3 linked regions of the Struthio camelus genome follow. The protein of the gene in region 3 interacts with the protein of the main gene of each other region in a biochemical or structural test. Links are inferred from orthologs where the notes say so. Each region holds a gene or a part of one and is shown on either strand. Other genes may lie near its edges.

Region 1 (8,062 bases), on a different chromosome or scaffold from region 3:
ATCTTCTATAATTAATTCCTCTACCATACAAGCACAGGCCAGGGCCTGACTGGCCCTTTTTGTATACTGGGCCTCTGAACAAACTTCACATGGTCTCATGGTTCTTGTGGCAAGAGGGAGAAATGAGGGAAAAAACAAGAAAATGAGGGAGGCTACTGGGTGTTTTTAAAAAAAAAAAAAAAAATTTGAGAATTCAGTGTTTACCCTGTTTTTGACCAGCTGTAGTTGAGAACCAGAACAGTTCCACTAAACATACAGTACCCAAGATATGATTGTCACATGCTGACATACACAAATACTTAGAGAAGTTCTTCTTTTTGAGATGTTTTTGCCTCCTTCCTGTGATTATTTATGCTTTAAAAATATTTATATATTAAAATTGTATTTTTTCACAACCATACTATTATCGTAGATTAGCATAGCTTCCCCTCATCCAAAAAAATGAAGCTTGGACACTTTTAGCCCTTCAAAGTCACGTGGCACCCAGACAAGCCTCCTTGTAGCCATCCTTCAAATTAGCTTCAGCTCCCTGTAGTATTCATAATTCCTTCCCTAGATACAGGGCAGTTCTGTACCTCTAGACAATAGATTTGAACAAGAAATAAGAGGAAGAGACTCGGTTAGTAAACTGTTATGCTTCATTCAGAACACTGGTATACATTTTAGGCATTTGGTAGTTACCTTTGTAACATCTCGATACTGGAAGCTTGTGGCCTGATTAATCTGGGGGAAGGCTTTTTTCAGAAATACAAGACTGCACCAATAACACACATTATTGCACTTCTATCATTTTTCATGCAAAGACTGGTATTTGTAGGACAAGTGAAACATCAATATTACACCGCAGACATTAAAAACACAGGTTAAAACCAAGTGCATTGTTACTTGAGATATACATGGTATGTCAAATGTCAACACCTGATACGTAAATGCAGGATGCAGAAAGCCACTGAATTACATGACACAGATGCACAACTTACTAACCAAACAACTTAAAAAAAAAAAAATACTCAAACCCACCTCTCATGCTTGTCAGTAGTTGGATGCAAATCAAAACAATGACTTCCATCTTTTTTGAGTTGAATTTTAGCCCTCAAACAAACCTCACTCTGTGCCACAGTGCAGTGGGACAAAAATAACACTGAATGGTAACCCCACACTGAAAATATGCCACAGTCCCTCATTCTTATTAAACTTAGGCCTCCTTACACATTTCACTTCTGTGATGAAATTGTGCCCATAGAAATATACCATCTCCATTACATAGCTGTATTACTCAAAATCATTTCCTGAGCACTGAGCCTGCAACATACCAACTCGTCAAGAACAGTTTAGTAAAAGCATAACGTCATATACGCACATGACTTCAACTGATACAGAGTTAGCAAGCACTGGAACACTGCAGGAAATGAAATACCCCAAAAATGGATCTTCTGAAAAGCATACTCAAAATGTCATGCTTATTCTCCATCTTTAATTGCCAAACAACCGGAGACTGGAGATGTTCATCCTGCAAGGTACTACTTTTAGAACTTGCATGCCATGATTCTGAAACTGAACTTCATTTACTTCACTTTGATAAAACTCCACTTATTTTTTTAAATGCCTGTTGCCAGAGAAATTCATAGTGAAAGGGAAAGCTCAACTTCTATGTTACAACATATGAATTTAAAACTCATTAGAATATCTAATATACCAGCCTAAGTACTCAGACGGATTTTACAGTAGTGCTACCCAATCTCACCGAACCACATCAGCCTAACCATTCATGTTCTTCATCTTATCTTATACTTCATTTTGGATAAGTGGTTGCACAAAGAACTTTTTACAGATGAAAGCCTTAATTTCTGCTGCTTGTACTTCTGGAGTTGTATTCAATTTGCAAAAATTTTCACAACCATCCACATTTGCCACATAATTTTTTTAAAACATCTGTCGCTAAACAGCTGAAGACAGTAAACAATTTAATGAAGCATTATTACTATTAATAAAAAAATACAACTAGATGATTGCATAAATATTACTAACAAACCATTTTAAAGAACTACTGTATTATAAAAATGACTGAAAAGCCAGGTGTATGTAACGCTGCCCATCGCAGTTAAAAAAAAAAAAGTACAATACACAAGCTATACTCGGATTTACTCCCTCAAGGTTAGGAAGCGAGCAGTTTTAAAGGGTTACTGAGCAATTCTGACCATGCTTAGCTCCCCCCTCCCCCGTGGAACCTGGAACAAGAAGAGCGTGCTTGAGAGATCAAGCACAGAAAACTCTTTGCATGCTCCCTCCGCAGAGGCGAGGAGCTGGAGCCTCCCTGCCCCGGGAGCTTGAGGACCTGGCTCGGGCCGGCAGCCCGCAGGGTCGGCGCGACGGAGCGAGGGCCGAGGCGGGGTGGCGGCGGCCAGCAGCCTCCGCCCGCGCCAGCCTCGGCAAGGAGGCGGCTGAGGGGCTTCTTCGCTCCGGGGGAGCCGGGAGGAGAGAGGCCCCCCCCGGGCACCCCGCGGGACTGAGCTACCCCGCCTCTGCCCGCAGCGCCCGGCCGGCCAGAAGGGGAAGGAGGGCAGAGCCGAGCAGCCCGGCGAGCCCGGCAGGGCGGGGAAGGAGGAGGGCGAGGGCTCCTTCGCAGGGCAGGGGGAGGCGGAGGGCAGCGCGCCCCGACGCCGGGCCCTGGGCAGCCGGGCAGGGACGGCGCGGGGGGCGGAACGAGGCGGCGGCAGATAAGCGGTGAGGGAAGGGCGCTCCCCCCTCGCCCGCCCCGCGGCCGGGGCAGAGCCGGGCCCGGCCGCTGCCCTCACCTGGTAGATGGCGGCCCAGCTGGCGGCCTGGTCGAGCCGGTGGAACTCCTTCTCGATCTCCATGGTGGGGACGCCGCGCCCGGCCTGGCCCCCCGCCGCCGCCGCCGCCCGCTGCTCCGGCAGCTCGGGCTCCAGCTGCTCCCGAGGCCGCGGCTGCCTGCTCTGCATGTCACCCCTCCCTTCTCCCGCCGGAACTACGCAGCCAGCCCCGGCGACGCGATGTCCGGGGCGGCCGCGGGGCCTGCGGAGCGGCGCGGCCGAGGGGGCGCGCGGGGCGCGCGGCGCTAACGGTCGCTAACGGTCGCTGCGCGCGGGAGCGCTCTGTGGTGGGGGGGGGCGGGGGGAGAGGAGCTGCGGCCTCGCTCCCCCCCACCCCCCGGGCGGGCAAGCGAAGCAGCGCCTTGCTCCCGCCGGGGGCACACGGGGGGCCGCTTTGCCCTTGCCCCCCGCCCCGAGGCGACGGTCCGGCTCCGGGAGCCGCTGCTGGAGGCGGGCGAACGGGGCCGAGCTGGCGGGCTGCCGCCTCCCCGCGGCCCCCGCGCCGGCCTGGCCCCGGGCCGCGCCGACAGGTAGGGCGCTCCCGGCAGGGTGCAGGGCCGCAGGGGGATTGGGATGGGGAGCCCCAGCTTTTAACAGATGGCTGGATTAGTTGGGGAAGAGCGGAGCCGCTCGTTTTAGCTCTTCTGATGCCAGGCTGGCGCCTTCTCGTTTCTGAGCCGCGAGGAAGTGCTCTGAGTCATGTGTTCAAGCTCTTCATCTGGGGCAAGAGGAGCAAGAAATTCGAAACAATTTCTCATGCAGTCCTCTGGTTCCAGAGGAAGGAACTGTAGGGAAAACACCAAATCTTGCAGCAGGTGTCTGGTTGTACCAATCTGGTCTGGCAGCGCACAAAATGTGTGTGTATGTGCATATGTTACTTCAAAGATGGGAGAAGACGACTGTATTCTTCCTCACTGCAGTCAGAAGATGGAGAATTTGTTATTCACTGTTATGCAATCTGCAGAGTGAAACATTTTTGTCAGTTGTCCCATACCTTTTCATCTAAAGGAATGTGTGATGCCAGAAACTCAGCGTGGAGTTTGAGCATCTGTCCTCAATTCTTTGATTTCTGCGTCTGTGAAATGCCTATTACTGTGCAAGGAGCTATAGTGCTATCCCAGTAGGTAAACATTCACCATGCTATTGCACCCGTTTAATAAAGCAACTTCAGATGAAGTTGAGGCCTAGATACCTAATATTAGAGAGAGAATCTCTTTCTTCCTGAGTTTCAAGGCAAGATGTTCCAAACATATGGGCACAATTCTCCCATGTATAATGCTAGAGCACACTTTTGTTTCCAAAGCCAGGAATTTCTCCTATGTCGGCCAGTGTCTCTTTGTTGGATTAGTCATTCACAAGTTTTTTGGAACATGCCATTTCTGAGGCCTGGTGCTGGTTTTGCATACCTGGTATCTCTGTAGCATGCGCACTGATCTGAAATGAGGCAGTGAGAGTGGATTTCTAAGATCTGTCATTTTTTTGAGTGAATTCAGCCATAAACGCCCAAGGCACGGTATGAACTGGAGAGAGCAGTGACTGAGGAATGGAAGATATGTCAATGTCACTGAAGACAAGTATTTCATCGCTTAGCAGCAGCCCTTGCTCCACTTAGCCATTGCTGCTAGCGAAAGCTCCTCCTAATCTTTGTACCATGCGGTCTTTGGAAGTGTTCAGCCCCAGAATGCCATCCCATTAGAGACTCATTGTATTAGGCTGCTTAGATGCTCTCTTGAGAAGAGAGCGCTAGTCAGAGATGTGAGATGAGGGGCCTGAAATATGGGAGAGGGTTAATTGCCCACAGGAAAAGGCAAGCTGTGGAAAGTGTCTTAACAGGATAAAAAGACTTAACCGAGATAAGCAGTGAAACATTATTCTCTGGTCAGCTGCTGCGTGTAGTATAGTGGCGTTAGCAGATGGTATTAGAAAGATTTTTTGCGTTTCTTATGAAATGGGCATTCTCTCTATGTGGTTTTTTGGAATTAGGCAATTATGGTATTAGTTCCATGAACAAAAGGGTTCCCGTCCATTCAGAAACCTTTCAGTGTTAGTACAAGCAAAAGGATGGGTGAGTGCATCTCACCTCTCCCTTTTTCTGGGTGCTGTGAGGCTGCATCCTTATCCTGAGTCTATGTGGAGGAAGTGGTGAATTTTTGACCTATTGGACCTGGAGACATAAAGACAAATTTAGCAACTCTGCTGCTTTCCCTTTTCCCTGTTATTTCAGGGTCAAGAATTAACGAACATATGTGGGGAGTCTTGCTGTGTTTCCATGATCCATTCTGAGAGATGAGTCCCTGTAATGTTACCAGAGAGCATTCCTGCAACCTATGGATGGCTACTTCTTATGCAGGCATAAACCTGATCCTACCTAGAACAGGTCAAAGCTTGTAAAACTGTAGCTACATGCAGTTGAATTACTGCAGTGCATAAACATTTTATAAATGCAGATAGCATACAGTCTCTTGTGCTTATGTCACCTGAATGGGCATAATAAATAAAAACAGTACAAATTCTTCAGCCAGTGGTTCACGGACAATATATTTTGCGAAATGTATGCTGTTGTCACAGAATTAATTGCCTTGGATAACAAAAACTCATCTATTGTCCTCAACAAATTGATGTTCAGCTACAGATGTCACAGAGAAATCCAGAAAATAAGAGATTATAAGAACTACCAGTGTATCTTACATTTCTACACAAACCTTCAGTCTATCGCAACTGCGATGTGTGACCAGTAACGTTTTAAAATGTGTTGATCTGGTTCAATGAATGCTTTTCTCTAGTAATTGGAAATTTTCAGGGACGTAAACTGCATTATAAATATTCACCCACTGTTACGTACATAAATGTATGCAAAAGAAGTAAGGAACGATTCACAGCAATGATATACATTGCGACTCATATTTCAGAACAGTATGGCTAATTGGTGCATGTACTATTGAATTATTTTTAGTTTATTTTTACATACAGTTAAAGCAATAGTACATGCAATGACATCCATAGGTAAAAAAATGGCACACTTAAAAATTACAATTAGACGCTACAGTTAGATACTTGTTTATGTTAAATGTTCATCTCTTTGACAGCTTGTGTTGCTAAAGCAATGTTAAGGGCATGTAGGCCACCTTAGAGAAACATCAAGTGCATTCTATAGGTAGCAAATTCTGCAGTTCCTCCTGCTGAGCAGGTGAGAGTGCTCAACCTAGTCCTATTTCTTTGTAACAGTTGTAGGGGCTTGTAGCAATTTTTCTGTATCCCTTAATACAGACTGAGGTGTAGCTACCCACAAAATAATGTGAAGCAGCCTGGCCTCGAGTTGAAAAAGGAACATTAACAGAACAATGAAACTAAGTCTATTATTTTTGTTTAATTTGAAACCCACTAAAATGACTTACCCAATTTAATCATGTTATAGTCTTTATTTGCCTTTCTGCTAACAATATTCAAGATTTTGGGATGACCTAGTTTAAAACAGCCAGTGTCATAAATCCCCATTAAAGTATCTGTAAATAGGATGCATATTGTTTCTTCACTGTTTGATTTTGAACGCAACTTTATATTAAGGCAGTTCCAGTGGGCTGCGTTTCCAGTGTACAGCTGGAAAGGTTGTCATTCACATTCAGCTCACTTTATTCTATTGCAATGTGCATGTTTATTCCATTACTCTACAGCAACCTCTCTTTTTTTATTTAACAGAAATACAGTCTTGTGTTAAACAGAGCTCAGACTTGACTAGCATCCTCTAATATGTCCTTCTGGTGTTGCGTCTTAGGCGTTCCTTGTTCTGATTTCCTTTTTTTTGTTGTAGTTGAAATGTTCAGGATTGTTACTGTGAAAAGTTCAGTTCTATCTTGATTTTCCCCTCATTTATATTACAGCATCACACAAGACTTACGATTCACGTGTTATGTCTTGGATACTTTGAAGCACCTGTTAAGTTCAGAAGCTAAATCTAGTGCAATTGGAGATTGTATTTTGGTGATAATAGACTGTTTTGCTTCTGATTTTATGCTGACATCAGTATCAGTTTTATTACGATGAAATTATTTTTAATTTTCATTACTGTATGCAAGATAAGGATCAAGATTGATATCTTCTAACTCATAGTATGATTTCTGTGGTAAAAGATGTGTTTTAGTTTGCATTTTTTAAATACTGTGGTTAAGTACACAAAGTAACATTCAGGCTCAGCTAACTTGCAGTGACTAATTTCTTTTGCATTTAGAAGCAAAGATGCCTCAAATAATTATTTCCTGTTTTTAACACTTCCTTCTGATCAAAGGGTGAGAATGTGAGGAGAAAAGGTATTGATGGGTATAAGGTTGTATTATTTCTAGTGAGATACCTGGGTGTGTGTATCCACCCTGGGTCTGCAGTGCTCCATGAAAATAATTCCTGATCTTGGCTTTTCTTTCTGTTTTAACTCATAATTAGAGAAGGAGAAGTTAACAGATTTGAACTCAGGTGTGTTAAATTAATGAGGAGAAGGACTTGCTAATCCTGACTCAGTGTTGAATCTGTTAGGGAGAATGTACATCTTTTTATCCAGGACAGCTTCTTTCTGAAACACTTCAGAAGCAGTGCCATAGCTTTGTTGCAGAGTAAGGTCTTCTGTGAGTTCTAATCTGTGTGAAGTATGTGGTTCACTTGACCTTGTCTCCTAATGAAAACAGAAGATACTCTAGAGGCTGGACTTAGTGCTAAAAAGGAGATAAATTCAGGATCGTGGGAGTATAACAAGTGTTAGAAAGTACGTTTCAGTTTGTCAGTGTGCAGCAGAAAATTTCATCAAATACTGAAAATCCTTGCTCCAAAGCAAGCGGGGCACTTAAGGACTGAGATTATGGGAGATGACCATGAACCCTAAATGCTGCAGAATTACTGAAGTTCCGCTGCAGTAGAGCATCTTAGGCAAAGATGCAGTGCAACGCAAAACAAAAGTCCTTGGTGGAAGGAGGAGAGTGCAGCTGTGTAGAAGAATGGCACATATGTTCACAAGCTTCAGATACACTGTCTGCAGAAAGAGTCGGCATATTCATGAATGACTGGGAAAGAAAAGCGACATGAAAGTGGTCTGGTTTGTTAGAGCCTTTGTTGTAGACATGGCCTAATAGGGAGCATGACCAGAATGTGGACAGTTTTATATCACAGGACCAAACTGATGTAGGAAATAAGCTATATCAGGAACCACAGAAGCTGCAGACTGGAAAATGAAGGCAGATAATATT
Region 2 (7,204 bases), on a different chromosome or scaffold from region 3:
AAGTTTCCACTTTCCAAGTGGAACATGTTTTTAGGTACATCAATGGCATTATTAAATAGCGGTCAAACTTATCTATGCCATGGGCTTTTAGTAACATTCAGTCAGACTAATCAGAAGACTTCAGTCAACTGCAGTCTATAACTGCATGATTCCAGCTTCTTTACCACCTCTTCCAGAAGTCCCTGATACCTATGAAGTACTCAGTTCACTCACTCAGATTTAAAAATAATTCTGTAAGCCAATTACTGAAGCAATAAAGATGTGAAAATAAAAAATTGTTTTCAGTTGCATTCACTCACTATTCCATGTCTATTTTTAGACTCCATCTCGACTTGGAAATGAAGCGATGAGTAACAGCAATTCCTTTTCCACTAACTTGCCATTGCTTAGCAGCAACAGTACATCCTGCACTTAAATGAGAAATACTGCCTCCCTCTTCCCTTCCTCCCAGAAAAATCGCTATTAACTATTAAAGAAAACCACATGGAAGGTTTTTACCCTCTTCATTTCTCTTTTCTTTCCTCACTTCAATCGTTTTAAATAGCATCTAAGCATGGCTTTGTGAAAGAAGCATGGCAAAAATACATTTGTTCTTAGTGAAAAAATTTCAGCAATTACAATTCTTGTGATCACCCTAATCTGGCCATCCTGCTTTATTTATATGCAGATGAATATTGAAAGTAATGAGAATATCATGTCAAAGACCAGCACTCTAGTTTCCCCGCTTCCCTTTAAGTTATTCCCTTTAATTTATTATGCAGAAATAAAGCATAATGAGTTTGAAATAGAAAGTGTTAAAAGGACAAAAAAAATGCAATCACTTTCAAAGGATTTACTGTTGTTTCAGGTAATACATATTTCTCCTGAGATGCCTTGCCGATTAGTTTCTACAACCACATTTTCCACTTTTTTTTAAAAGCACTTTCTTTCCTTGATGCTCTACGAAAGCAACGGCAAAGCTTACTGACCAAACAGTTGAAAGCTGTATAAACATGCTGTCAAATACAGAAATGCAAAAATACAAAAAAAAGTTTCCATACAGAAGTGTCATGACTTATAAGAAAGGCTAAAAAATCACATGTATGCAATTTGACTATAACAGAGGTAAAGCATTAGGCTATTGATCAGATATGAAACAGCAAAAGTTGATTACAAAATCTAGTATTTAAAGTATTTAACAGAAAGGCTATTTTAAAAATCCCACATTTTCCACCAGTCCAGGATACCCTTTCTATAAAATGTTTAGCTTAAGAGAACAAGGCAGACTCACCAGTACAATGGATCGATCTATATTTAACAGCAGTCATATTTCTAAGACAATCGTTTAACGAAAAGGTCCTGTCAGCATATTTAACTCTTGAATGACCACGTGAGGACGTTGCATTACGTGAAACGACCTTAGAATTACACTGTTACTCGAATGGGGCTCTTAACTTCCCATCGCCTCTCTCTTCCTTTCCCACATGCTTGAATATTCCGGTGTTGGCAGATCGCTGCCGAGGCGGGCGCGGGTTTCCCACGGGCCCCGCCGCTCCCCGCCCCGGCCGGCCTCGCCGCTTCCCAAGTCCACTTCCTCCCCCGCCGCCGACCTGCCAGCGCTCCCAGCGCCCCGCAGCCTTGCGCAACATCCGCAGCCTCCTCCCCGCAGCTCAGACAATCCCTGATGCGGCACTTCACATCCAGATTTTTTTTTTTTTTTGTTCCCAGACCATTATCAAAGGCTGAGAGCTCAAAAGGCTAACGGCGTGCTTTTATCCCAAACATCGCCAGATAACCACGAGAGCTACCAAGATACGCAGAGCCTGCCATCCTTTAGCTCTTCTGCGGGTCAAATTGTATTTTCATATCAAGTGTTTAAACAATACTGAAAAGTGTCAGCGGCATCTGCCCAATCAGAGTTATTGTCCCCGGCTTATATCTTCTATTCAAAAGATAAACCACCTCAGACATTTTAGCAGCCCGACTAAGCAGCTAAAATAAAACCAGGAAAAAGACCTAATTCTCCATTTAAATTCCTCCCCCTCCCCGCCCAAGCGCACACGTTAACCAAAGGCCGACGGTGAACTGCTCTGGAGGGAAGAAAGGACGAGGGATACAGCCGGGGCTGCGATGGGGGGATGGGGACCAACGGGAAGATGCGTATTCCTCCGAGGAATATTTAATACACTTAACATCTCTCCGCGGAAAGGATAAGAGCGTCAAGCAGGCAGCTGCAGAGACGAATAAAGGGGGGAAAGAAACGCCCGCTTAGCCCCAGCTGACACGGTACCAGGCAAGCCGCGAGGGCAGGGGCTGCCAGGCAGGGCAGGAGCTCACAGCCCGCCCCGTCCCCTTTATCTCCGCAGGAAGGGAAGCGGGGGGGGGGGGAGGAGAGGAGCCGCCGGTTAGTTTGGCAACGGCCGGTTACCGCGATGAGGGCGAAAGCTCTCCGAGGAGCCCCCCGCCGGGGAGCGGGGCTGGCGCAGGGGGCTGCGGCGGCGCGGCGCCCCGCGGCGAAGGCGGCGGCCGCCCCCCTTCCCCCCCCCCCGCCGGGGGGGCTCACGGAGAGCCGGCGGCAGCCGTCCGCGCCCCGCGGCGACACAATAGTGGGTCACGGGCAGGGAGGGAAGCGATGCTTCTCCCTCCGCTTCCTCCCCCCTCCCACCCTGACGAGCAGCGGGATCGGGCAGGCGAGGCCGAGGGCAGCGGCAGGAACCGGGCAGCGGCAGCCCAGGGGGGTCGGCACCTCGCCCTCCCACCCCCCGGCCCGGCCGGCGGGACCCTCCCCAGCCCTGAGGGGAGGCGAGAGCCCGGCCCGCGCCCCGCCGCCGCCGCCGCCCCTCACCATGAAGTCGCTGGCGAAGTTGTCCTCCCCATTGTGGTCCGTGTCCTTCATGGCCTGGACGCGCCGGATGAATTTCCTCAGGATCTCCTCCTGGCTCATCCTGCCGCCCGGCCGAGCGGCAGCTCCCGCCCCGCCCGCTCCGCTCCGCGCCTCAAGCCGCCGCCGCGCGAGCCCGTCACCGACGCCGCCGCCGCCCCGGCCTGCCTGCCCCGCGGCCGCGCGCACGGCTCCCCACCCCGCTCACGGCCGCGCGGCCGCCTGCTCCATTCTCTCCTCCTCCTCTTCTTCTCCCCTCCCTCCCTCCCTCCGCCCGGCCCGGCCCGGCCCGGCCCGCCCCGGGAGCCGCCACCGACACAACCACACGACGAAATCCCCACCTCCTCTTCTCCCTCCCCCCGCGCAGGCGCGCCACCAGCCCCGCTGGCGTTTCCTACTCCCGCCCAGCCGGAGAGGGAGGGGGTCGGCCCGCCCCTGCTCCCCGCCCATTGGCCCCTCACGCCTCAGCCCCCGTCTCATTGGTGGCGGCGCACGCTAATCACCGCCTCAGCCCAGCCCCGAGGGGGAGCACCACTGGGAAAGCGGGGGAGGGGAGGCCTGAGCGCGGCTTCTCTTGGCCCGAGTACAATAGCGGGGCTGCCGGGCGCCTACAGCTCCCAGGCTGTGGGGCTGCGGCCGGCGCCGCGCGCGGCATGCCGGGACCTGTAGTCGCGCCGGGGCGGCGGCGCCCGCCGGGGCAGCCCAGCGGCGGAGGCGGGGCTGCGGCGCGGGTTTGTCCGTGTTACCGTCTCGCTGAGGGTCCCCGCTGAAAAGCCCGGCGGGAAGTGGCCCCTCCGCGGGTGGGGGGAGGCAAGGCTCAAGCCGCGGAAGGAGGCCGAGGCGGGGTGCAGGGCTGCTGCCGCCGCCCGCCCCGGAGGCCGAGCGGGCCGCGCCGCTGTGGTAAACCGGGGCGGCGGGAAGATGGCGGGGGCAGCGGGCCGCGGCCCCGCGCCGGCGGCTGTTTTCCCCCTTTTCTGTGTTTGCGCTCATCCGACGAGAGGCGGCTGGCGGCAGCGCTGCCCCGTGGGTGTTTCTAAGGCGCTGGGGGTCCGGACCGTTCCTTCTTCAGTGGGGACCTTTGTCGTCGCATTCAGAGTATTGCGGGGAGTCTAGATCTGGTTTAAAAAGCTCTGACAGGAGGAGGGGTTTTTTTTTTCTTTCCTCCAAAAAATGCTATGTTGTTGCGAGGGAAATGTCTTCAGGGGCGTCGATCCTTTTTACTTGAAAATATGTTTTGCTTTCTTAAAGTTGGTAATGTCAAGACGTTTAGAGCCAGTAAGATGAAGGAGTGTTATTTTGGCCCTTCTTTTACATTAAGAAGTTAATTTATTGTGATGTGTTATTATGATTAATAACATCATGTCTACAATGTTAGTTCTGCTTTTATATCGGGCTTAATAAACTCAGAAGGGAAAAATGTAAATGTCAGAGTGAAGCAGTCCAATCTTAGCTAAAAATACCTAATGCTTTTCAACAAAGGTTTCAAAGTTAAGGTGTTCAAAAAAAGCAGGAATTTTCACCCACTGTACGTGCAAATCCACCTGTATTCTTTTTTTGATAAGATAAAATGATTAAACTCATTAAGATATTGTCCACAGGTTTAGTTCCCTGATTACATTTATAGCTTCTGCTTCAGGAAAACAAAATAATTCTATGTGTGTATATATAGCCTTATAGCATAATAAATATACTTAGTAATGTTTTTAAGCATCATTTTATTGGTAAAGAGCTGCACAGTCTTTATTGATGTAGTTAGTACAATAAAATTTTGTAACACAGGCTAATAAAGAAGCTCTATGTGAGCAGCATAACCCCATAAAGGCATTTCTACCAAATCACTCATTCTCTACTACTAATTCTCACCCACAGTAGGATGTTGCCCTCACAGCTGAGCAAGCAAAACAGTTTGTGGGACCATACACCGAGCCAGGTCAAGGAGCTGATTCAGCTGAAATACAACCCAATAGAAAAGGTATGGGTTTTTTTTCCTCCTCTGAGATGATACCGTTAAGCTGGCTTTGCTACTGAAACAAACCTACATAAAACTTGGCCTTCCTATTGAGATCTAAGATATTGCCATCTTTGATGACTGCTAAGGATTACCACCTTGATAACAGAGTCAGCAAAATGGCGTGTTTTCCACCCTCAGCCCAAATCACTGTCCATCAACTTAACGTATATTCCTAGCGAAGGGAAGTTTTGAGCCAAGGCAAAGGACTATGAACTATGCAGCTGCTGGTGCATGGACACACATTTCTTTCTGCTGCAGAAGCAATCATCTGTGGCAGAGGGCCAGGCTGGAAAATTGGGAGGGTTTGTGTTCTTGCATGATTTACTAGAGACTTCAGCCTCTTGCAAAGGGCTTTTTTTTAGCAGTTAGTGGTCTTGGAGGCTAATGCATGAGGGACAGAAGGACACATCAAGGAACTGGGAAAGGGAGTCAGTGTTGTGCTGAGGTACTGAGTCTTGAGGAGCTCCCTTGTGCATTGAAGCCTCAACGCCACTGCACAAAAGTAGCGTGAATATCCAACACAATCACGTCAGCTGGGAGAGCCTGGTTGCCCTTTCATGTCCTTTCCTTCAGTCTCTGTGAGATAATCAGCCCTGAAGAGCCACAAAGATGCCTGCTTTTCTTTAATCTCTCTTTTCCTTCTCCTCTTCTTCTCCTCTTTTTCTCCTACCTTAAAGCAGCATTAAGGGGAAACAGGAAAAAAAAAGAAAAAAAAAAAAAAGGACATAGCCATAGATAGAAAGGGCACAATAGTGATCACCCGGAAGGATAGATATGACTTGGAAAGACCAGTAAGGATACAACAAAAACAGCAATATGTAAGTAATAATAGGGACAATAATGTGATGATTCTTCATATGATCTTTTCATACCACTTTAATTTCTTTTTGCTTCAGGAAAGTTGCTTAATTTGCTCGGTAGTTGCCTGGCAAACCTGTTCAACGGGCCAGAAGGCATGAAACTGTAAAAAAATGATCGTTGGGACTAAGCATGGATGAAAAGTCTTGAATGTGGTATGGTCTTCCTCACTCCACTCACTCATTCACATGATAAGAGTTACAGAGGACTTGAGGGTGACAGAGCATTGGAACAGGTTGCCCAGAGAGGTAGTGGAGTCTCCTTCCCTGGAGATATTCAAAACCCATCTGGATGTGATCCTGGGCAATATGCTCTAGAGGTCCCTGCTTGAGCACGGAGGTTGGACTAGATGATCTCCAGAGGTCCCTTCCAACCTAAACCGTTCTGTGATCAGCAGAGGAGGAAAGGTCATAGTTTCTTGCATTGGTTCTTATGTCGTCGTTGCCTTACATCAAAAATACACACGATATTGATCTGGACTGGTTCATAATCTGTTGTTGCGAGTTTAAAACAGTTTATTACAGTGCAAATGTAACAATGACCTTTCATTTGAGTTACCTAATAAGAAGAATATACAATCTCAAAAAAAATAAAAAAAAAAAAAAAAGCCCCCCAAACCAGGCCTGTGTCACCAGCCAAAACAAAGGCATATACAAAACAAAGAAATTTGAAATACCTGGGTGGAGAACTTTACTTAGCATTGTTTGCATAGGCATGTGTACGTGTTAGAGTTGCCAGATATTCCTGAGCACAAACCCAACAGCACTAGTTTTACCCGGTTGCGCTGGGCTGTCTCATCTCTCTGGCGTGAACACAGAAACCTAAACTTTCAGCAGCAGAAACAGTGCTTGAACCCAGACTTTTGATCTGAAACTCAAACTGTCTGAGCTAAACCCAGACGTCTGACCAATCTAGCATGTGTGCATGAGTCTATATATGTGTAAAAGTAGGAGAGAGGCGGAAAAAGAGAGCAAGACACAGGGTGAATTACTCACCCTGCAGATAGAACAGGAAGCTGCAACCAAAATCTGTAGAAGTACATGGTGGTTGTATCTTAACAATCCATACAAGTATGGTCCTTGGAGAGACTCAGGTAGCTCACCTGCAGCTTTTTTGCTATTAATCTCATTTTGCCTTCCCCCACACAACTCCAGCTGCTTGCAAGGACAGAGGGCAGCCATTTTTTTGTTCAGAGATAGCTTCTTCTGTCCCTACAAGGTAAGCATGTGTCATTAACTAGTAAATGTGTTTCGTGGCACAGACAGCATTCTTGTGCCCAGCCAATGGATGGGTGTAGGAAGAAGTAGCAGGATCCCAAACTTCCCAGCTTGCCAAGCTTCAGAGTTTGCCTGAAGACTGTGGTGGGGCATAGTCTCACCGCAGAACTGTCTGCAATATCAGTTTGGGCTCTGGTATGGGCTTGGACTCATGCTCAAAAAATAGCACAGATCCTACCAAAACTCTGTTCCCTAAAG
Region 3 (7,763 bases):
TATGGCCGCGAAACGTTAATCCGGGGCGATTAGCAGGACAGAGGGGACTTTGTGCGGCCCCCCGGCCAGGGAAGGCGCTGGCTGGGCCGAGCGCCTTCGCCGTAACTCGCCGCCGCCGGCTGCGTCCTCGCCGCGGGGACGCTCCGGCTGCGCGAACGCGGCTCCGAGCGTATCTCGGAGTCGCAAGGCCCTAATGCTGCATTTTTTGTTTTCTTTTTGGCATTCGATTTTCTTGGAGGTGGGAAAAGCAGAAGGGAAACCTGTCCTTGCCTGTGCCCCCGGCGGGTGCTTCACAGCAGCGCTGCCACGACGGAAACCGGGGCGTTGCAGGGAGCCTTTGCCAGCGCCGGGTGCTCGGCAGCTCCCGGCAGCGATCTTGGCTCCAAAGCAGCAAAAGCGGCATCAAATATAGCCACAGGGCGCTTTGATCTGAGGGGAGCGTAAAATATTCCTGGTGCTTTTAAGCACCAAAGCTCCTGGGCTCGGGCGCTCGGCCACGAGCCAAACCCGGAGCCGCTACCTGCTCTGGGCAGAGGCTCCTGCAGATCCAGGAGCCGCCGGATGCCCACGAGCTGCGTGCACGGCGCGGCCCGGGGGCCGGTCTGCATCGTTTGCGATCTGCTGGGGACCGGGGCGGGTGTATCAAGGACGGGAAAGGGTTGGTGGGGGAGGACGGAGGAGTTAATCGCTGGCAGCGGCCGCTGCAGGCCTTTGATCAGGCTGCCGGCTGCTCCGAGCCGCTCCCCGCGCCGCCGTGCCCGGCCGGCTCCCGACTGAAGCTGTTCCAGCGCGAGGGAGGCCGGAGCCAGGCCCGACCCTCCGGCTGCCCGCGGGCCCCCGCGCCGGCCGAACCGAACTCGCTCCTCCCCAGAGCCAGCCGCGTCCCCCCCCCCCGCCCCCCGCCACGGGCTGGCCCGGGAACTGCTGCTCGCAGATTTATTTAATCAATACGTGACGCCTATTGCAAGCGGCACATCAGCCCGCGCGGGAGGCACCCGCCGCCGCCGCCCGGTTCGGCTTTGTTTGGTGTTTGGAGCCTTGTGGCACCCGATCGCGCCTCGGAGCGAGACTTCAGACGAGCATGAATGAACCACGCTGCTGCTGCTAGCCCTGGCCCCGGCCAGCGGGGAGCTCTCGGCCGGTCGGCGCTGGCCCCCAGGCTGGGGGGGGGGGGGGTTGCAGGATTTGGCCCACTGGCAGCACCCCCCCCCCAGCTCCCCCTCTCCCAAGGCAGTGATTTCCCGGAGAAGCCCCATGGGCTGGCCAGATCCTGCTCCATTAGAGGGTGGCGCTGGGGCAGGTATCCCCAGGCCGTAGCAGCAGGAGCTTTTACGCCGGAGCACCCGGACAGCGTTTCTCCGGGGCTGCCGGGACCTGGGCAAGCGCACAGCTGGGCACAGCTGGACACGGGGCAGATGTGGAGCAGAGAGGCGGCTGGGGCGGCAGGGAGCAGACGCGTGCGCGCGTGTGCGTGTGTGTCCAGGTGTACGCGCACGTCCTTGCGCGTTTATGTGGCTCTGTGTGTGTGTGTGCACACGCGTGTTCGCGTGCACGGCTGTGCGCGTGCCCCGAGCGCCGGTGCATGCAGCAGGCTGTCCCTCCGCCCGGCCACGCGCAAGCAGAGCCAGGAGCAGGAGCTCCGCGGGGCAAGGCGGAGGGGCACGAGGAGCCGGGGATGTGCGAGCCCCGGCGAGAGCAGCCCGGGAGAGGCGTTCGCGGCCTCCCCGCCTGCGCTCAGAGTTTCCAGGGAAAACCCGCCAAGGCCTCGTCCGCTCTGCCGCGGCGGCAGAAGAGCTGGTGGCGAGCTTTCAACTGCGAGCGCCGCGCTGCAGCGCCCGCCAGCTCTGGACGCGCAGACGGAAAAACGGGAGGGGAGGGGGAAAAAAGGGAAAGGAGGAGGAGAAGAGGCCGAGGGCTGCTCCTCGGGAGCGCAGCCGGGGGCTGCACCGCCCGCCGGGGCGCCCCTCGCCGGAGAAAAGGCCTGCTTGAGATGCGCCTGAAGACCCGCAGCTATTTATAGCTTGAGCGACCCTCCTGCCCGGCCCCTCGCTGCCTCTTTTCTCTCTCTTTCCTGCAGGGAGGGCTGGGACCCCGAGGATCCCAAAACGGGGGTGTCCTGGCGGAGACCGGAGCCTGCCTTCGGGGCTGCGCTGGGGCAGGGGCCAGCGGTACGGCCTTGCCCCGTGCGCCGCGTCGGCCTCGCCTGGCCCCGGGTGGCCGCCCGCCGCGGGGCCGGGAGCTGCCGCGAGCCGGAGCCGCGGGACCCGGCACTCGCCGGGGCGCCCTCCAAACCGCCAGCGCCTCCTGTCACGGGGAAGAGGAAACCATTTGCCCGCTGGGGTGGCTGCGGTTTCCGGCGCGACCGCAGCCCCCTGCTCTCGGCGGATGCTGCTCGGACCCGGCGGCTGCTGCCACGCTTCGCTCTGCGCCTCCCGTGCCTCAGTTTCCCCAGGCAGCAGCAAGGGGCAGGGGGGCGACTCGAAGCACAGGGAGCGCCGCCACAGCGAAGCGCCCGTCGCCAAGGGGAGGGTGTCGGGGCGCCGCCGCTGCCCGGCGCTGCTGGCGAGGCCAGGCCACGCGGCGCGAGCCGAGCGAGCCCGGCTCTTGGCAGCGGGGAGGGGGGCGAAGGGAAGGGGGAGGGCGGCGTTTGCAACGCGGCCTCGACGCCGCTGCTCCCCGACAAGGAGCAAAGGTAACCCCGGAGGGTGAGATTTCCAGCGAGGAAATACCATCGCTGGGGAACGCGTGGCCGGGAGGCATGTTCGCGGGAAGAGGTGCATTCCTGGCATGCCGCGGCGAGAGCGCCTGCTCGCTCGCCGCCGGGCCGCTCACGCACGCCGGCCCGCCTGCTCCGCTCGGGCGCAACGCCGCTCGGGGCCGCCGGCCGGGCTGGGCTGGAGGCAGGCAGGGCTGCCGCCTCGGCTCCGCCGAGCCCGGACCGGCCGGCCGTCGGGGCGCCCTGGCGGGGGCTCAGTCCTTCCCGTCGGGCTGCGAACGTGCCGGAAAGGCGCCCCCGGGGCTGAGCGCACCCCTCTGCCCGCGCAGCCTTGCCAAGGCGTCCGGGCTTGCTGCTGGGGACGGGGGCGACGAGGGGCGGCTGCGATGCCGCACCGGCCGGCCGGCCGGCCCCGCACGACGCCCCCCTCGACGCTGCCGGGGCGCCTCGGCGGGAACGCCAGCGCGGCGGCCCTGGGGGTGCCAGAGGGGACCCGGCGTCGCCTGCCCGAGGGAGCCAGGCAGGATTCGGGCCGAATTGCCCTAAACAAGCCAAGGTAAACAAACACACCTAGCGCTATGATGACTTTATCGAGCGTATCGCAGGCCGCGCAAGCTAAGCAACGCCCGTCGCTGGCCGCTGGAGCTCCAGCTGCCCTCCTGCCCTTTACCCGGAGAAAGTCCCAAACGGTTTCTTCCTCCCGACGCTTCCCATCGCCGGCGTTTCCCGGTCTGGTCGCCTCCCCGCCCGGCGCTGCCCGCGGGGGTAACTGCTCCCGAGGCCGCTCCCGCAGGGCGCTCGCTCCTGCCCTTGCTGTTCAGCAGCACGAGGCCACCGAAGGCACGGGGCCGGGAGCCTCGGCGCTCCGCTCCTGCCCGGGACTCGCGGGGCGCAGGCAGAGCACGGCGCGGCTCGGGGCACCCCAGACCGCCAACCGAGAGCCGCCAACCCCGAGCCGCCGTCGCGGGGCGGCAGCGGGCCAGGGCCCTTCCCGGCCGGCGCGTCACCCCCCCCGCGGGACGCCGCGGCGTTTTGGGACGCCGCAGGGCTCCGGCCGCCACCCCCCGCTACCTGCCCGGCGTACGCAAAGCCGTAGCGCTCCCGTTAGGCACACACGCCCCTCGCACGCCCCTCGCACGCCCCCGGCGCGCACCGCCCCTTACCCCGCTCGGTACCTGCCGTGCCCATCGCCCGCCGCCCGCTACAGCCGCGGTACACCTTCTTCACATGCGTTGTGCTTCACACCCCACCCCAACACGCGCTCCCTGTTGTGCGCACACACGTTACACGCACCCTGCCCATTACACACCCATTGCACACACAGCCCCGTTACACACCCGTTACACACCCCTGCCCCTTGCACACGGGTTACGCACACCCTTCCTGTCACATGCCCATGACATGCCTGCTACACACACACACACACACACGCCGCCTGTTAGACCCCCGTCACCTACACCCACACACCTTCCTGGCACGTGCCTGTAACGCGCACGCACTGCTGCCAATTACACGTCGTACACGCGCACGCACTGCCTGTCACACCCCCGTTACACGCCCCGTTGCACACACACTCCTGCCCCTCACACCGGGGTCACCCCCCCGCCTGTTACACACCCCTCGCACACACGCACACCTGTCACGGAGCCGTTACACCCCCGTGGCGCACCCCCCCGGCCTCCACAGCCCCGTGGCGCACACACGCGTGCCCGTGGCGGGCCCGGGGCAGCCCCCGCTGCACCGCCGCTCCCTCCCCCGGCCCGGCCCGGCCCGGCCCCGGCGGCGGCGGGCGCAGCAGCGCCGCCTCCCGCTCCGCGGCGGCGCCGGCAGCCAATGGGCGGGCGGCGGGGGCTGCCGGGACCGGGCTGGGCACCGCGCTATAATGTTACCTACGGCGCGGCCGCCGCCAGAGCGCCGCTCGCCCGCCCGCGCCAGGCCGCGCCGCCCGCCGCCGCCCCGGCCCCGGCCCGCGGGGGCTCCGCGCTAGGGCAGCCGCGCCGGCACCGCCACCGGCACCGGCACCGCCACCGGGACCGGGGCCGGCGGGGAGCCCGAGCGCAACTTTTCCTCCCTGCCGCCCGGCCGGGGCCTTCCCGCATCGCCGCGGCAGGAAAATGAACTACTTGGTGAGCGCGGGCGGCGGGGCGGCGGCGGCGGCGGCGGCGGCGGGGGACAAAGGGGCGGCGGCGGCGGGGAGCGCGGCCGGGCCCGGCGGGGTGACCTTGGCGGCCGCCGCGGCGGGGAGGCCCCGCGCCGCCCTCGGACGTGGCAGGCGGGGGGGGGGTCCGGCCGGTGCCCCCGCGGCGGCGCGTTCCCGCTGCCCCCGGCGCCGCGTGGCGCGGGGCGGCCGCGCAGGGCAGCGGGCGGAGGGGCGCGGGAGCGAGGCCGAGGCGGGCGAGGAGGCAGCGCGGCTGTGCGGCGGCACCAGCGTAACGAGCTCGCGCGTTCTCAGCCCCGCTGCCGCCGGGCTGCGTGCGCGGCCCCGGGCCGGCGGGCAGGGTCCACGGGGGGCGCAAGGCCGCGCCCGTCCCCTTGCTCCCCCCCCCCCCGCCCCGGCTCGCCTCCTCGGGAGCCTTCAGGCCGGACGTCGCTTTGGAGAGTCCCTTTCCCCAGCCGCTGACCTCAGGCCCGCCGGGGCCCTGCCCGGTGCCGCCGGGACCCCGGCAGCGGACTTGACCTTGCGGGCTCGGTCCCCGCGGGACGCGAGCTGCTCGCCGGGGTCGGTGCCGGCCCCCGGGGCTCCCTGCCGCACCGCGCTCCTCCTCCGGGCTCGCGCCAGCTGAGCTGACCCGAGATGCTCCCCGCAAGGCCAGCCCTGCGGTTTCCATCCTGCTCGCCCAGAATCAGGCAGGACCGAGGTCCCCAGCCCTCGTCCCCGGCTGCGGGCCGGCCGCAGGTCCCGGTTTTGTGGTGCAGCGGGGAAGGGCCGTATCAGGGCTGTCGCCTCAGCACTGGGGGTCCCTATGAACCGCCGGGTGTTTTTCGGTAATTGATGGCCCTGCCGGACGGGTGGGGGTGAGGTGGGACCCAGCCGGTGGGACAGCATCCTTGGGGGGGGGGGGTCAGTGGAGGCGGTTGCACCAGCCTGGCTCCCTATCCTGCCTCGGGGCCGCGCCACGCAGCCTGGCCCGCGGCGGACGCTCGGCCCCCCGCACCGGCAGCCCTCGGGAGTTCGGCCGGCCTCCGCAGGAAGCCGCTCGCTGAGGGCCGGGAGAGCAGAGGGAGCTCGGCAAGGCCGGTCTTCCTGTGGGCGTGCGAATGCCCTTCCTGTGCGCGTCAGCCCCGCGGCCCCGCCGCTGTTAATGATTCACCGGGAGCTAATCAGCGCAGCGAGGCCAAGGCTGGGGGACAGGACGGGATGGGACGAGGGGACGTGCCGGCCTTGCAGCACCCTTGCCGTGCTGGGCAGTCCCCGAAGCGCGGCGGCCCTGCGGTCAGGGTACCCGCTGCCTCCCCGGCGGTGCCACCGAGCGCCACCGCTGCCTGGTGCGGGCGGACGGGTGGCACGGGCAGCGTCACCCACGGAGGTGGGCCCGCTCCATAGGAGCGCCGTGGGGGGCTTCGGCAGCCCCGGGGGTCCGTGGCTCAGGATGCGCCCCTCCTGCCTGCTCGGCGGGGGGGAAGGCGCCCGCGCTCCCCTCTCCAGGCAGGAGTTTCCCCTGGCAGCCGGGATGGGCCCAGGCAGGGCACAGTCCGCAGCGGGCGGTTAAGCCAGGCGTCATGCGGGCAGGTTGCAGGCAGGAGGTGGAAGAGCCCGGAGCAGAGTCCTCTTCCCACCCCTTTGCCTTGGCGAGAGAGAAGCGCAGCGCCCAGGACACGCGTCTCTCCTGGAAAGCAGCGCCCAGCGTGCCAAAGGCACCCGCCGTTTTCGTGCCCTACTGGCACGGCTTTTCCCCTCCTCTCTAACGTCGTAGACGTGGGTGCCGGCTGGAGGCTGCCGTCTCCCCGGCTGCTTTCCCGCGTTGTGCCGGCTTAGGGCCCTGGGCTGGGACTTGCGAGCTGCCACCCCCCTCCTCGCGCAAGCTTGGCCCTGTCATTGAGTCTGCCGTGCCCTGGGTTCCCGGTGGCAGCGGAGCGGGGTGGCTCCTGGGGAGCAGCCTGGCTTGCGGCTCGTCGGTCCCAGGGCGCTCGCGCTGACAGCGGTGACGGGCTGGAAAGCGGAGGTGCCTCGGCCGTGCGGTCACCTGGTCTGCTGGGGCCACAGACCTGCCAGTCTGCGGCCAGCGGGTGATGGCAGCGCAGCGTCGGGTGGAGAAGGGGTGCCGGGGGGTCTCGTAGGCCGAAAGCAGCGCTGGGGGCCCTTTTGCTTCTCCGAACAGCTGGCCTTGGACACCTGGGGTGTTTGGGCAGCTGGAACTGGCCCCACGTGGGCAGGCCCCATCAAGACTGTGACTTCTAGCCCTGCCTGTAAGCTGAGCACCCTCTGGGCTGGTCCTGCTGCTCCTTGGGGCTCCCTGCAGGTCCCTTCGGTTGGGGGCCCCCACAGGCGCTGAGCTCTAGGAGGGGAAAGCACCGTGGCAGAGGGAGATGTGCTGGAAGGGTGTCTGCTGTGGGTGCCGCAGGGTGCTGTGCCACGCAGCTGTGGTCTCGGCTGCTGCTAGCCCGCTAGCCAGGCCCCGGCCCAGTGCTGCGCTGTAAACTGTGACCGCACGCCCTGAAAGCCCCTCCGGCCAAGGAGACTGTCTAAGCACTCGCTCCAGCCAGGGACCTGCCTCCGATGGCTCTGTTGGCTCCTGATGGCCATGATCCTGCCCTACGTGTCACAAGCTTGGCGGGCTCAGCCTGCACCTGGCAGGAAGAGCCCTGCGCTGCTGAAAGCTCCCAGCTGGTTGTGCTGGATCTTTCTGGTAGCTGATACCAGTTTTCTACCAACTCTCTGAGCGAAGGGCCAGGAGGCAGAGGGTGAGGTGGACGCACAGCGGGGCTGGAGGGCAGCGCCATGCTCCCTGCTCCGGCAGCTGGTTCAGTGAGCTGGCGCTTTGGTCCTTGTGTCCTGGCAAGGCTGCTCCGTGCTGGCACCCTCTGCCAGGACACAGGGAGGGACAGT

The links.
Region 1: the proteins of BCAR1 (region 3) and PTPN1 form a complex in vitro, tested with the Homo sapiens proteins (3 studies listed by BioGRID and IntAct, with this or other methods). The link is inferred for Struthio camelus from reciprocal best matches to the Homo sapiens genes BCAR1 and PTPN1.
Region 2: the proteins of BCAR1 (region 3) and PTPN12 form a complex in vitro, tested with the Homo sapiens proteins (3 studies listed by BioGRID and IntAct, with this or other methods). The link is inferred for Struthio camelus from reciprocal best matches to the Homo sapiens genes BCAR1 and PTPN12.

The regions. Positions count from the first base shown.
Region 1 is NC_090959.1:10,207,671-10,215,732, reverse strand, and holds the start of PTPN1 (tyrosine-protein phosphatase non-receptor type 1), read right to left. Parts: upstream 3,002-8,062; 5' UTR 2,964-3,001; coding exon 2,796-2,963; intron 1-2,795. UniProt on the Homo sapiens protein: Tyrosine-protein phosphatase which acts as a regulator of endoplasmic reticulum unfolded protein response. Mediates dephosphorylation of EIF2AK3/PERK; inactivating the protein kinase activity of EIF2AK3/PERK.
Region 2 is NC_090942.1:13,931,929-13,939,132, forward strand, and holds the start of PTPN12 (tyrosine-protein phosphatase non-receptor type 12), read right to left. Parts: upstream 3,036-7,204; 5' UTR 2,924-3,035; coding exon 2,825-2,923; intron 1,573-2,824; exon of another isoform or gene 1,271-1,572; intron 1-1,270. UniProt on the Homo sapiens protein: Dephosphorylates a range of proteins, and thereby regulates cellular signaling cascades. Dephosphorylates cellular tyrosine kinases, such as ERBB2 and PTK2B/PYK2, and thereby regulates signaling via ERBB2 and PTK2B/PYK2.
Region 3 is NC_090951.1:22,278,338-22,286,100, forward strand, and holds the start of BCAR1 (breast cancer anti-estrogen resistance protein 1), read left to right. Parts: upstream 1-4,707; 5' UTR 4,708-4,830; coding exon 4,831-4,842; intron 4,843-7,763. UniProt on the Homo sapiens protein: Docking protein which plays a central coordinating role for tyrosine kinase-based signaling related to cell adhesion. Implicated in induction of cell migration and cell branching. Involved in the BCAR3-mediated inhibition of TGFB signaling.